Linked DNA regions of Drosophila melanogaster. The protein of the gene in region 1 interacts with the protein of each later gene in a pairwise test. Each region holds a gene or a part of one and is shown in the gene's direction. Other genes may lie near its edges. The genes, in order: HLH4C and CG14965.

Region 1 (4,970 bases):
TTGCAGATGCTATGTATTTGAAGGGCTCCAGGTCGAACTATGTAACCAAGTATCTCGGACAAGCTGACTTTCCCAAGGAAAGTGAGGTGTCTAACTATAGGGTGAAAATCAATAATGCGGTGCGCGATACCTTGCGTAGCTGCCCGAGATCTTTGTTCATCTTCGACGAGGTGGATAAAATGCCCAGCGGAGTATTCGACCAGCTCACCTCGCTGGTGGACTACAACGCCTTTGTCGATGGCACGGATAACACAAAGGCAATCTTCATCTTTCTCTCGAACACGGCGGGCAGTCATATAGCCAGTCATCTGGGTAGTGTGATGAAGAATGGTAGGCTGCGCGAGGACACACGACTGAGTGACTTTGAGCCCCTTTTGCGGAAGGCCGCCTATAACATGGATGGCGGTATGAAAAAGACCACCATGATTGAGTCTCATGTTATCGATCATTTCATTCCGTTCCTGCCGATGGAGAAGGCGCATGTGATCAAGTGCCTGGAGGCGGAGCTTTTAAGGTGGCGGCGCGATCCTAAGCAAGCGAACAACCAAAAAATCATTGAGGACATAATAAACTCCTCCATTAGTTACGATCGCACGCACAGCTTGTTCGCCATTTCGGGCTGCAAGACGCTGGAGAAGAAGGTGGCCATGGCCATTTACTGAGAAAGGACCGACCGACTCCACATTTTAATGCTTAGTTTGGGTTTCGGTTTGTATTTAAAAAACTATTTTTTCGGAATAAAGAAAACAAATTTTAACTACCAGGGATTTAGCCACTTGAGGCGGGCATCTTTGCGCAGCAGATCGGTATCCAGTCGCTTGGGCTGCTCGTCGTAATCCTGGCGAGCCGCCAGGCGGGTATCGATGGGTCCCAGGTCCTTGGTTACCAGGCACTCGCCGTTCTCCTTGAGTATCGTATGCCGGACATCCTGGGCAGTGGGCTCTCCGTAGGGGAACGTGACCGGCGTAACCTTAATTAGATGCTTGATCTTCCACAGGCGGGCATTGTTCTCCGGTATGTTCTTGACGACAGTAAAATCGCTCTGCTTTCCGTCTAGTCCCAGATCTTTGAGGATTCGATTCTCCCAGTAGGGATTGCCCTTTAGCGGCTTGATGCGCTGCACCCGGAAAAGTTTCGCCGGCTCCACGGGTGGATCCTGGTGATCGGGAGTCCTGAGCGGGATAGATTTAGCATTAACAAATGCTGGATTTCGTGTGTTTTCCTTTTATACACTGCACACGTGAATACGAACCTGGGATAGTAGGTGATACCCTCAAATTTCTGGCCATTTTTGTAGAGGAACTTCTTGTTGTGCTTTCCGTAGCTGCGCACCGAACATGCGGTGCTCCTCAGTGGATTCAGCAGCCTTCCCAGGTTCATCTTAATTGTTTTCCCCCCTTTGTAATAAAATTAAATGCAAAACGCTTATGAAATAATTGATGTTTCCCCGACGATAACGATTACACAGACATCTGGTTAACTAGTTGCCTATCGATGGGCAGCATGGATACTGCCGTTATGTAAACCAATGTTAACCGCTTGCTGTTAAGCGATACAATTCAAATGCAAAGGCGGCAAAGTTAAAAGTGATAATTTATCATGTACAAACTGAAGATAATTTATCATTTACAAACTGAAGATAGCGAAAACATTATCAATAAGATGGTAATATATATTCGTTGTTTTTTTTTTTAATATTTCAAGAATTAGTTGAGAAAAGAAAGTTTTTAGGTCATCGGATTACACAGCCTCCAGGGGATGATGTCCATTTCTGGAAAGGGGCGGTCTCATATCAAAATCTCCGCCATTTTGTCAGCTACAATTGGCGCTAATCGACGAGGGTGGATAACTTGGCATTGGCTGGCTTTCAACGCAATGGGGTTGTTTCCGATTTTGGTTATAAAGGAGGCTGCAGCTTCCCGACCGGAAGTCAGTTCCACGTGAGCATCCATCCGGCGAGCAACCGACTCTAGTGGCAAGCAAGGATATCTGCCAGACAACTCAAGGATCTAGAATAACTCTGCACCTGTGATAACTGCTGTAAGTTCAGGCAACAAAGCCCAAAAATTGTGAGCAATGCAAATGAAGTGAATGTACTAGCGAGTAGAATAATCAAATTAAAGATACAAATAGCTGAATGAAGTCTCTAGTTCGTTTAAAATTATATCTAGAAATTTGTTAATTAGCTAACTTGACCATGTGCACGCACTCGACATGTGTAAGTGTACTGGAGTTTCATAGTCTTGAGGGGACTTGAGTTACACGACAAGTTCTTAAAACTAGATCGGATTTCCATCATCCCATGGGATCAATAGACACGTCTTCGACTTGATGCAATTCCAGTGACACTTTTTGGACCCAAAACCCATTAAATCAATAGATATAAAATCATACGTTAACCGCAACAATACAAAAAAGGGTGGCCAAGCCTAAGGGGTTGGCATCGCTGAGGTTTGCCAACTCCCGCGGGCAAATAAACGTGCCGATTGTTCAGCTATTTGTGTAGGTGTGAAAATATGCTGCGAATAAACAATACACGCACAATGCCGACAATAAGCACAATAAGTACAATAAAAATAAATGAAAATAATAGCAAACGCAAACAGAATGCAGCGAAAAAGGGGTGTGTCCTTCATCGGCAAGGACGACACACACACACACGGACACCCTTCATCACAAATGTCCACAAATGAAGCATAAATAATTCGAGTGCAAGGATTATGATTTCTTCAACGCCTATTGTAACCTTTTTTTTTTCAATAGCATGAGCGCTCCACCGCAAAGGTAGCCACACTTTTCGTCTTCCTTGAGTTTGAAATGCAGATCTGTGAAGCAATCAAGTACACATTTCGTTGTATTCATAGTCTAAGCTGTGCATCCTCTTGCTTCCATTTCCATTTCCAGCATTCAGCAGCAGGCTGGGCAGCGCAAGAAAGTCCAGTGTCCAGCACCGAAATCAGTGGTGCAAATAGCCAGAGAATGGTCTACGATATGAGCCATATGGCGGCGGGTCCGCCGCAAAGCATTTCGCTTAGTCGCTACTATCTGGTCGACGATGATGAGATGATTGGGCCAAATAATCCGCATCTGGTCAACGAGGACTATGCGGCCAGTACGACGCTGGATATCGATAAGCGTTTTCAGGCGCGAATGGCGTGCGAAACGGCCGCACAACCGGCACCGCCACCGCCGCCCACGCCGGCGCCACGTCGCCGGACCACGCCCATTGCCCATTTGGATCCATCGGAATTGGTGGGTCTATCGCGGGAGGAGCGGCGTCGTCGCAGGCGAGCGACACTCAAATACCGAACGGCACATGCGACGCGGGAGCGTATACGGGTGGAGGCATTCAATGTTTCCTTTGCCGAGCTGCGCAAGCTGTTGCCCACATTGCCGCCGGACAAGAAGCTTTCCAAGATCGAGATCCTCAAGCTGGCCATCTGCTACATTGCCTATTTGAATCATGTGCTGGAGACGCCCTGAGATAGCGCCGGCGCCTCCAGTTTCGCCACCAGCTGCCTCTTTAACGAGGCCAATTTTTTCGCCCCCCCGTAGGAGGTGGGGGGGCGTGGCGGGCGGATTTAGGGGGAAAACATTGCGAATATTCCACATCCGATAAACGCATTTCACCATGCTCTGTAATCCGCACATCGCTCCATTGGATACTTTGCCGGTGGCGGCTATGGATAATGCGATTATCGAATTAGCCATCTCACCAACTTAACCGAAGTGTTCGATGGATTTTGCCGATTTGCTAACCTATTTAACCTATGGTTAAATACATACATTTTTTTGTTTTTTGTTTTTTTTTTTCCTTGCCACTGTTGAAAGACAAATGCCCGTCGTTTCGTTTCGATTCGTTTTTTTTTTTAGGCTTAGGTTTGTTTTCGTAGAAACAATTGTAAAGCCACGATTTAACCTAAGGTTAAAATATGCCCGTACTAAATGTAGAAGATATAAGCTATTAGTTTGTGTAATTTAATTGAAAAGTAGAAATATCGAAGGAAATAACAAAACTAAATATGCCAGTAGTACATACAATTAAATTTATGGGAAAGCAGTGCTTAATCCTCGGAGTAAACCTTGATCATGGTTTATATAATATAAATAACCAAGAAAAAAAAAACAGAACCTTAAACTAAGATCCATTTTTTGTCTAGCCTTTAAGTCGTGATATTTGTTTATACTCAAACGATTAATATATACAGCATTGTAATCGCAATAAAAAATTGTCTACTTTATGTATTTTGGCGCGCCTTTGCACGACACTCCCCTCGACTTTTGGACACCAGCTGCTCTGACTGAGTTTTCCATTTGTCTGAACGCTTTGCTCGGAAAAGCCAGATGCTAACAGTTCCCCCTTTTTCACCAACCTTCAAGAACCACGTATCCACGTATCAAAAGCGGGCGTGTCCTTTGCGCCAAGCCCCGCCCATTTGTGTAAAAGCGAAGTAGAGCAGCCTCTGTCATAATTTTCAAAAATTGAGGATACATTTTTATTTTTTTGTTTTAGAAACTGTGAAAGCGTCACGGAAATTTCGACTTTTGTGCAAAATTTCGAAATGGCCCTTCATTTTAGTGCACAGCAGGTAAGACAAATTTATTCTAGTCGATTGGGAGGCTGTTTTCAATATCCATAAATAGTGGCCTAATTTGGTTGGTACGGGTAACGGGTATATATATATATACATATATATATATTTGTGTGGATCCATGGATGTAAACATTTTCGCAATAATAATAACAACAAACGTGGCAATGGCAACCAACTCGATTCGGCGCCATCCTTTTCTATCCAGTGAAAAACGACTCCTGCATTCCGACAATCGGCTGTTTGTCCCTGTATGGGTGCTATTTTCATGGGTGTGGGTGTACTGGCGTTCATAAACAAAAACAAAGGCCAGGCGACAAGGAAGTTTTGTTGTGTGCATATTTTAGTTTTTACCAGTTATATATTTTATTCTTTATTT
Region 2 (4,470 bases), on another chromosome or scaffold:
CATCTGCAATGGATTTACAAAATCATTAGGATTAGTTATAGTCTGTGGGTTCAACACTAAGGAAAAGCAGCTGCATTTTCAGCAGCTGCTCCGGTTTTATTCTTTTTCTTTCTTTCTCTTTTGCACATGCCTCATTTAACATGCGCATATACAAGTACAGTGGTGGTCAAAATTATAGCATTCACTTTGCAACCCGTAAAATGGAATTTTAATTTCAATTAGCCAACAGAATTGATTTTAAGTTGCAAAATAATGTTTTAAATTTAAATATTTAAATATAATTATGCAAATTGGGTCGGTTGATAATTTTTCTACCCCTGCTGTGTGCAAACTCGTGTCTGTGTGAGTGAGCATTGCATTGAAAATTCGTACTTCACCAAGGAAGTTTGTGGAAGCATCTAGAAGCCAAAGGAAAACTAATTCGCCTAGCAAGTTGCTAGTAGCAACCAACCAATTAAAATAGAGCAAATAGGATTAAAAAACCGATTTAACAGAATTTGCTTACTGACGCCACATTTTTACTTGAAAGTATTAGTCATGGGCGTGCATGTGTGCGTATGCGGCATGTGCAATTTAAAATGGGAATGCAAAGAAAGCACGTGTAATTGTAAATGAAGGACAGTAATTTATAATTAAAAAGCCTATTTGGCACGCTGTTTAATTCATGCTAAAGCATAGAAACCTCTAGAACATTCTCGAGCGGCAAATGTGATTTGCGCATTGTCACCCCCTAAAAAGAGCGGCATAATTCGATTTAGCGCTAAAAGACCATTGCATTAAACAAAAATTAATCTTGTATTCTATAAACCACATGTAATTGTAAATAAAGGACAGTAATATATAATTAAAAGGCCTATTTGGCACGATGTTTAATTCATGCTAAAGCATAGAAACCTCTGGAAGATGCGTCCAAGCGACAAAAAATAAAAGAAACCGGCATTTTGAGTTAATTTGCACGTTGCCACCTCTTAATTAATCAAAAAAAATTCTTAAACTTGGCTCCTAGAAATTTAAAATCAATATCTCACATTTGGGTCAAGAACATTCGAGATGCACAGGACCACGCAAAATGCACATTTTGGCCATAGCCACTGATAAACTATTCACTCTTTTCTTGTAATTTGCATTACTCACCTTGTATGTATGTTTTTCGTTCTATTCACAGAATAAAGGTAAAAATACAGATATTTTCACTTTGCTTTGTATAGAATTGGAAATTCACAAAACTTTTCAGACGCTGCTTGTTGTTACGACGCACACCGTACGAAATTTTTTTCAAGACTCGAACCGGCAAACGCCGCGCGTCTGCTTTTATAGAAAAACCCGACCCGAACTGGAAGTCTCTAGAAACTTCTAGAGGCTTCTGGATGCCAGGGATGCAACTTCCTGTGAATACTAGGGTAGATCAGTGTTGTGATACGGTCGAAAAGTGCGCAACCTGTGCGGGCGAATTCAAAAATTATACTGAACTAAGTTTGGTGGAAATTCGTCTAAGTGGTCCGAACGATTGAGCAAAGCCCACTGGGATTGCTTAAAACATTACAATTGGATATCAAAACGCCCACTAGGCTTATACTGTAATTAGGAAAATGGAAAATTTAATTGTTCCCAATATTATTTTACTTGTTTTAACAGTAAATAATAAACAAATCAGCTTATGACCTGTTAATTTTTATTTATATTTATGAATACTTTTCTCCACCAGACTATCGATATTTCCAGAGTTTCAGAGACTTGGTGGTGCAAGCTGGTTCCTCTGGAATAAACTAGTTCCATTTTAAGCGGACGGTAAAATTTGAAATCACTTGAGTGGGTTTGGGGAACAAAAATTGGAAAGTTTTTGTTGTAATTAGCTAAAAAGCAGACATTTCACATTCCGGAAAATAATTGCTTCTGTGCAAAACCTGCTACAAGCCCAGTCAAGTAAAAAATCTCTCATTAATTAAGAAGTGTCATATCGATCATTTGGTTTCGGTCAATTCTGTTATCGATGCCTCCCATCGATATCACCAGCTGACGCTAACACTTCCACCACTAATAACATAAAAGTTGTTTGCTTATATTTAAACAAATGGGCGGCACTAAGTGTTGTTTTCGTGATTGTCCGGTGGGTTCTAGCCGCAACCCCAATATGCACTTCTTCAAGTTCCCCGTTAAGGATCCGAAGAGGTTGAAAGATTGGGTCAGGAATTGTTCAAACCCTGACGTTTCAAATGCACCGCCGTCCAAACTGGCAGCCAAAACAGTTTGTGCCCGGCACTTTCGAGCGGAATGCTTCATGAACTACAAAATGGACAGACTCATCCCAATGCAGACGCCCACTTTGTTCAGGATCAACAGGGATCTGGCACTAGACTATGAAAATCTCGACCAGAACGGTGAAGCTCTTCTCGTGAAGTTGACGCCTCCAAAGCAGCAACACCTAATACCACCTAAAGATTTCGAGTGTCCTCTGGGATTCGTGGATGGTGAGACACAGAATTTGGATGTTGTTAAGAAACGAAATACAGTAGAGTTGACAGAAGAGGAGGAACCGCAAGGGAAAGACGAAGCCGACGAAGTGCTGGCTACGGAGCAGGAACAGCCGGTTGTACACACGGAGAAAACAACGGTGGCGCATAAGAGTTCTACAACATCAACAAGCGCTTCGGCTATGCCTCAAAACATTCTAGATATCATAAGTCAACTTCAGCCTTCATTGGGCATCAAATTGATTAAAAGACCAGTAAAGCGTCAATCAGGAAGCGAGAATGAGTTGTTTCAGCTTGAAGAGCAGCTCCCAAAAGAACAAACTGATGATACAAGCAAGATGCGAACAGTCACCAAGGAATCAGAAAAGCAAATTAAATCAAAAAGTTGTATTATTGACGTTATGAAAATGCCAAAGCTTGCCGATAAATGTCAAGAAAAGCAAGTGCCAACTAGAAAAGAGTACCGACCAATTAAAGGGACTGTGGTTAGAAAACGTGGGATGCAGGAGGCAGATGCTGATAGACTGAACGAAGATGAATCCACCAAGGAGCAGGCTAAGAAAAGGAAGCTACCCCAAGAAGCACAAAAGACTGACTCCCACGCTTCACCTGAGAACGGTACGATATTGAACCGATATACACAATTGCAAGAGAAATTCTGGGATGAGCAGAAGACTCCGATGTTGGAGAAACCCACCCAATCCATCCAAATTAATCTTAGTTCTAGCAAAGAAAATAGTCAGAGTGATTCCATTTCCGAAACCTTATCTGAATCTTTTCTAAACCTTGAAGAGAACATACCACTTAGTACTGACAGTGAGGACGAGTCTGAACCAGATGAAAAACCATCTTCATCGGAAGATGCCCATCGCGATAAGCTTCTTCAGGAGTACGATAAACTGCAGGCCGAGTTTGAAAAGCTGTCTGAGGAGAATGCCAAACTAAAACGACTGCAAGCGGAGTCCCCGTGGACTTCAGCTGCAATCAAACCCACTGCTCTTTCTCTAAGCAAACCCCAGCTATACATGGCAATAAAGAAATACGTGGGGCCCACGATGGCCGCATTGCTGCGCATGGAAATGTTCGGCGGCTCTGAGGAACGCACTTGGAAGGATGACGAGCGAGAGTTTGCCACCGAACTACTTCAACTGGGCGACGAGGTGTACAAGTACTGTTGCGACGAGTGGCGCTTCCGCCTGCCCTCGATGCGGATTGCACGCTCCTGGCTGGAGAAAAAAAATACGGAAAATTCGGAAGAGTTTCTAGACTTATAGTTTATTTTGCCATTATAGACTTGGCAATATAAGGGGTATTTTACTGATAAATTATTTTATATATTAGTTTTAAGCATAACATCAGTTCCGATGCATCTAATAAAGTAGGTGTATATAAAAAACGCTTTTAAATCCATTTACCCAAAACGAATTTTATTTAATAACAAAAGCAATATATTATTAGGCAAAATCATTTATTTATATCCAATAATTAGCGAGGCTAATTCAAGTGGCAGATGATGGAGTCATCAGTGGCCTTGGTGACGCAGATCTCCTGGGTGGAGGCGTCACAGAAGTAACCATCCGGGCAACTGCCCGTCACATTTGTGGGCGTTATGGCGCCAAAGCAGAAGGCGAAGGTTGAGCGCGAGGTGCAGGCGAAGGTGTAGTTGGGAGCACACTGGCCACAGCTATCAGTGTCGCCGCAACTGGCGGGATTCTCGCCCCTCTGGAAACAGATCACTGGCTGGTCCGTGCACACCAGGCCATCCGTGCAGACGAAGGTTTGGTTGGTATTCGGCTGAGTGGAGCCGAAGCACAAATTGTATGCGGTCTGGTTGATGCAGGAGGCTCCATTTGACTGGCATACATTACAGTCTGCCTGGATCCAAGCGATTGGAAAGGCCACCAAGGCAATCTGAAATGATATAAGGAATGTTGAGATACGACTTTGTGGCCACAAACCTTCAAAATCCAAAGGCAACTTGGTTTAAGAACTGTTTTAA

Evidence for each region.
Region 2: the proteins of HLH4C (region 1) and CG14965 interact in a two-hybrid assay, tested with the Drosophila melanogaster proteins (2 studies listed by BioGRID).

Annotation. Positions count from the first base shown.
Region 1 is NC_004354.4:4,644,377-4,649,346, reverse strand, and holds HLH4C (helix loop helix protein 4C), read left to right. Parts: upstream 1-1,932; 5' UTR 1,933-2,040; intron 2,041-2,904; 5' UTR 2,905-2,979; coding exon 2,980-3,483; coding exon of another isoform or gene 3,484-3,555; 3' UTR 3,556-4,220; downstream 4,221-4,970. Other genes in the region: torsin, read left to right, coding at 1-662; mRpL30 (mitochondrial ribosomal protein L30), read right to left, coding at 758-1,172, 1,253-1,380; CG3062 (uncharacterized protein), read left to right, coding at 4,563-4,589.
Region 2 is NT_037436.4:3,190,032-3,194,501, reverse strand, and holds CG14965 (uncharacterized protein), read left to right. Parts: upstream 1-2,010; 5' UTR 2,011-2,071; coding exon 2,072-3,745; 3' UTR 3,746-3,880; downstream 3,881-4,470. Other genes in the region: Hsp83 (heat shock protein 83), read right to left, coding at 1-3; CG14958 (uncharacterized protein), read right to left, coding at 3,966-4,382.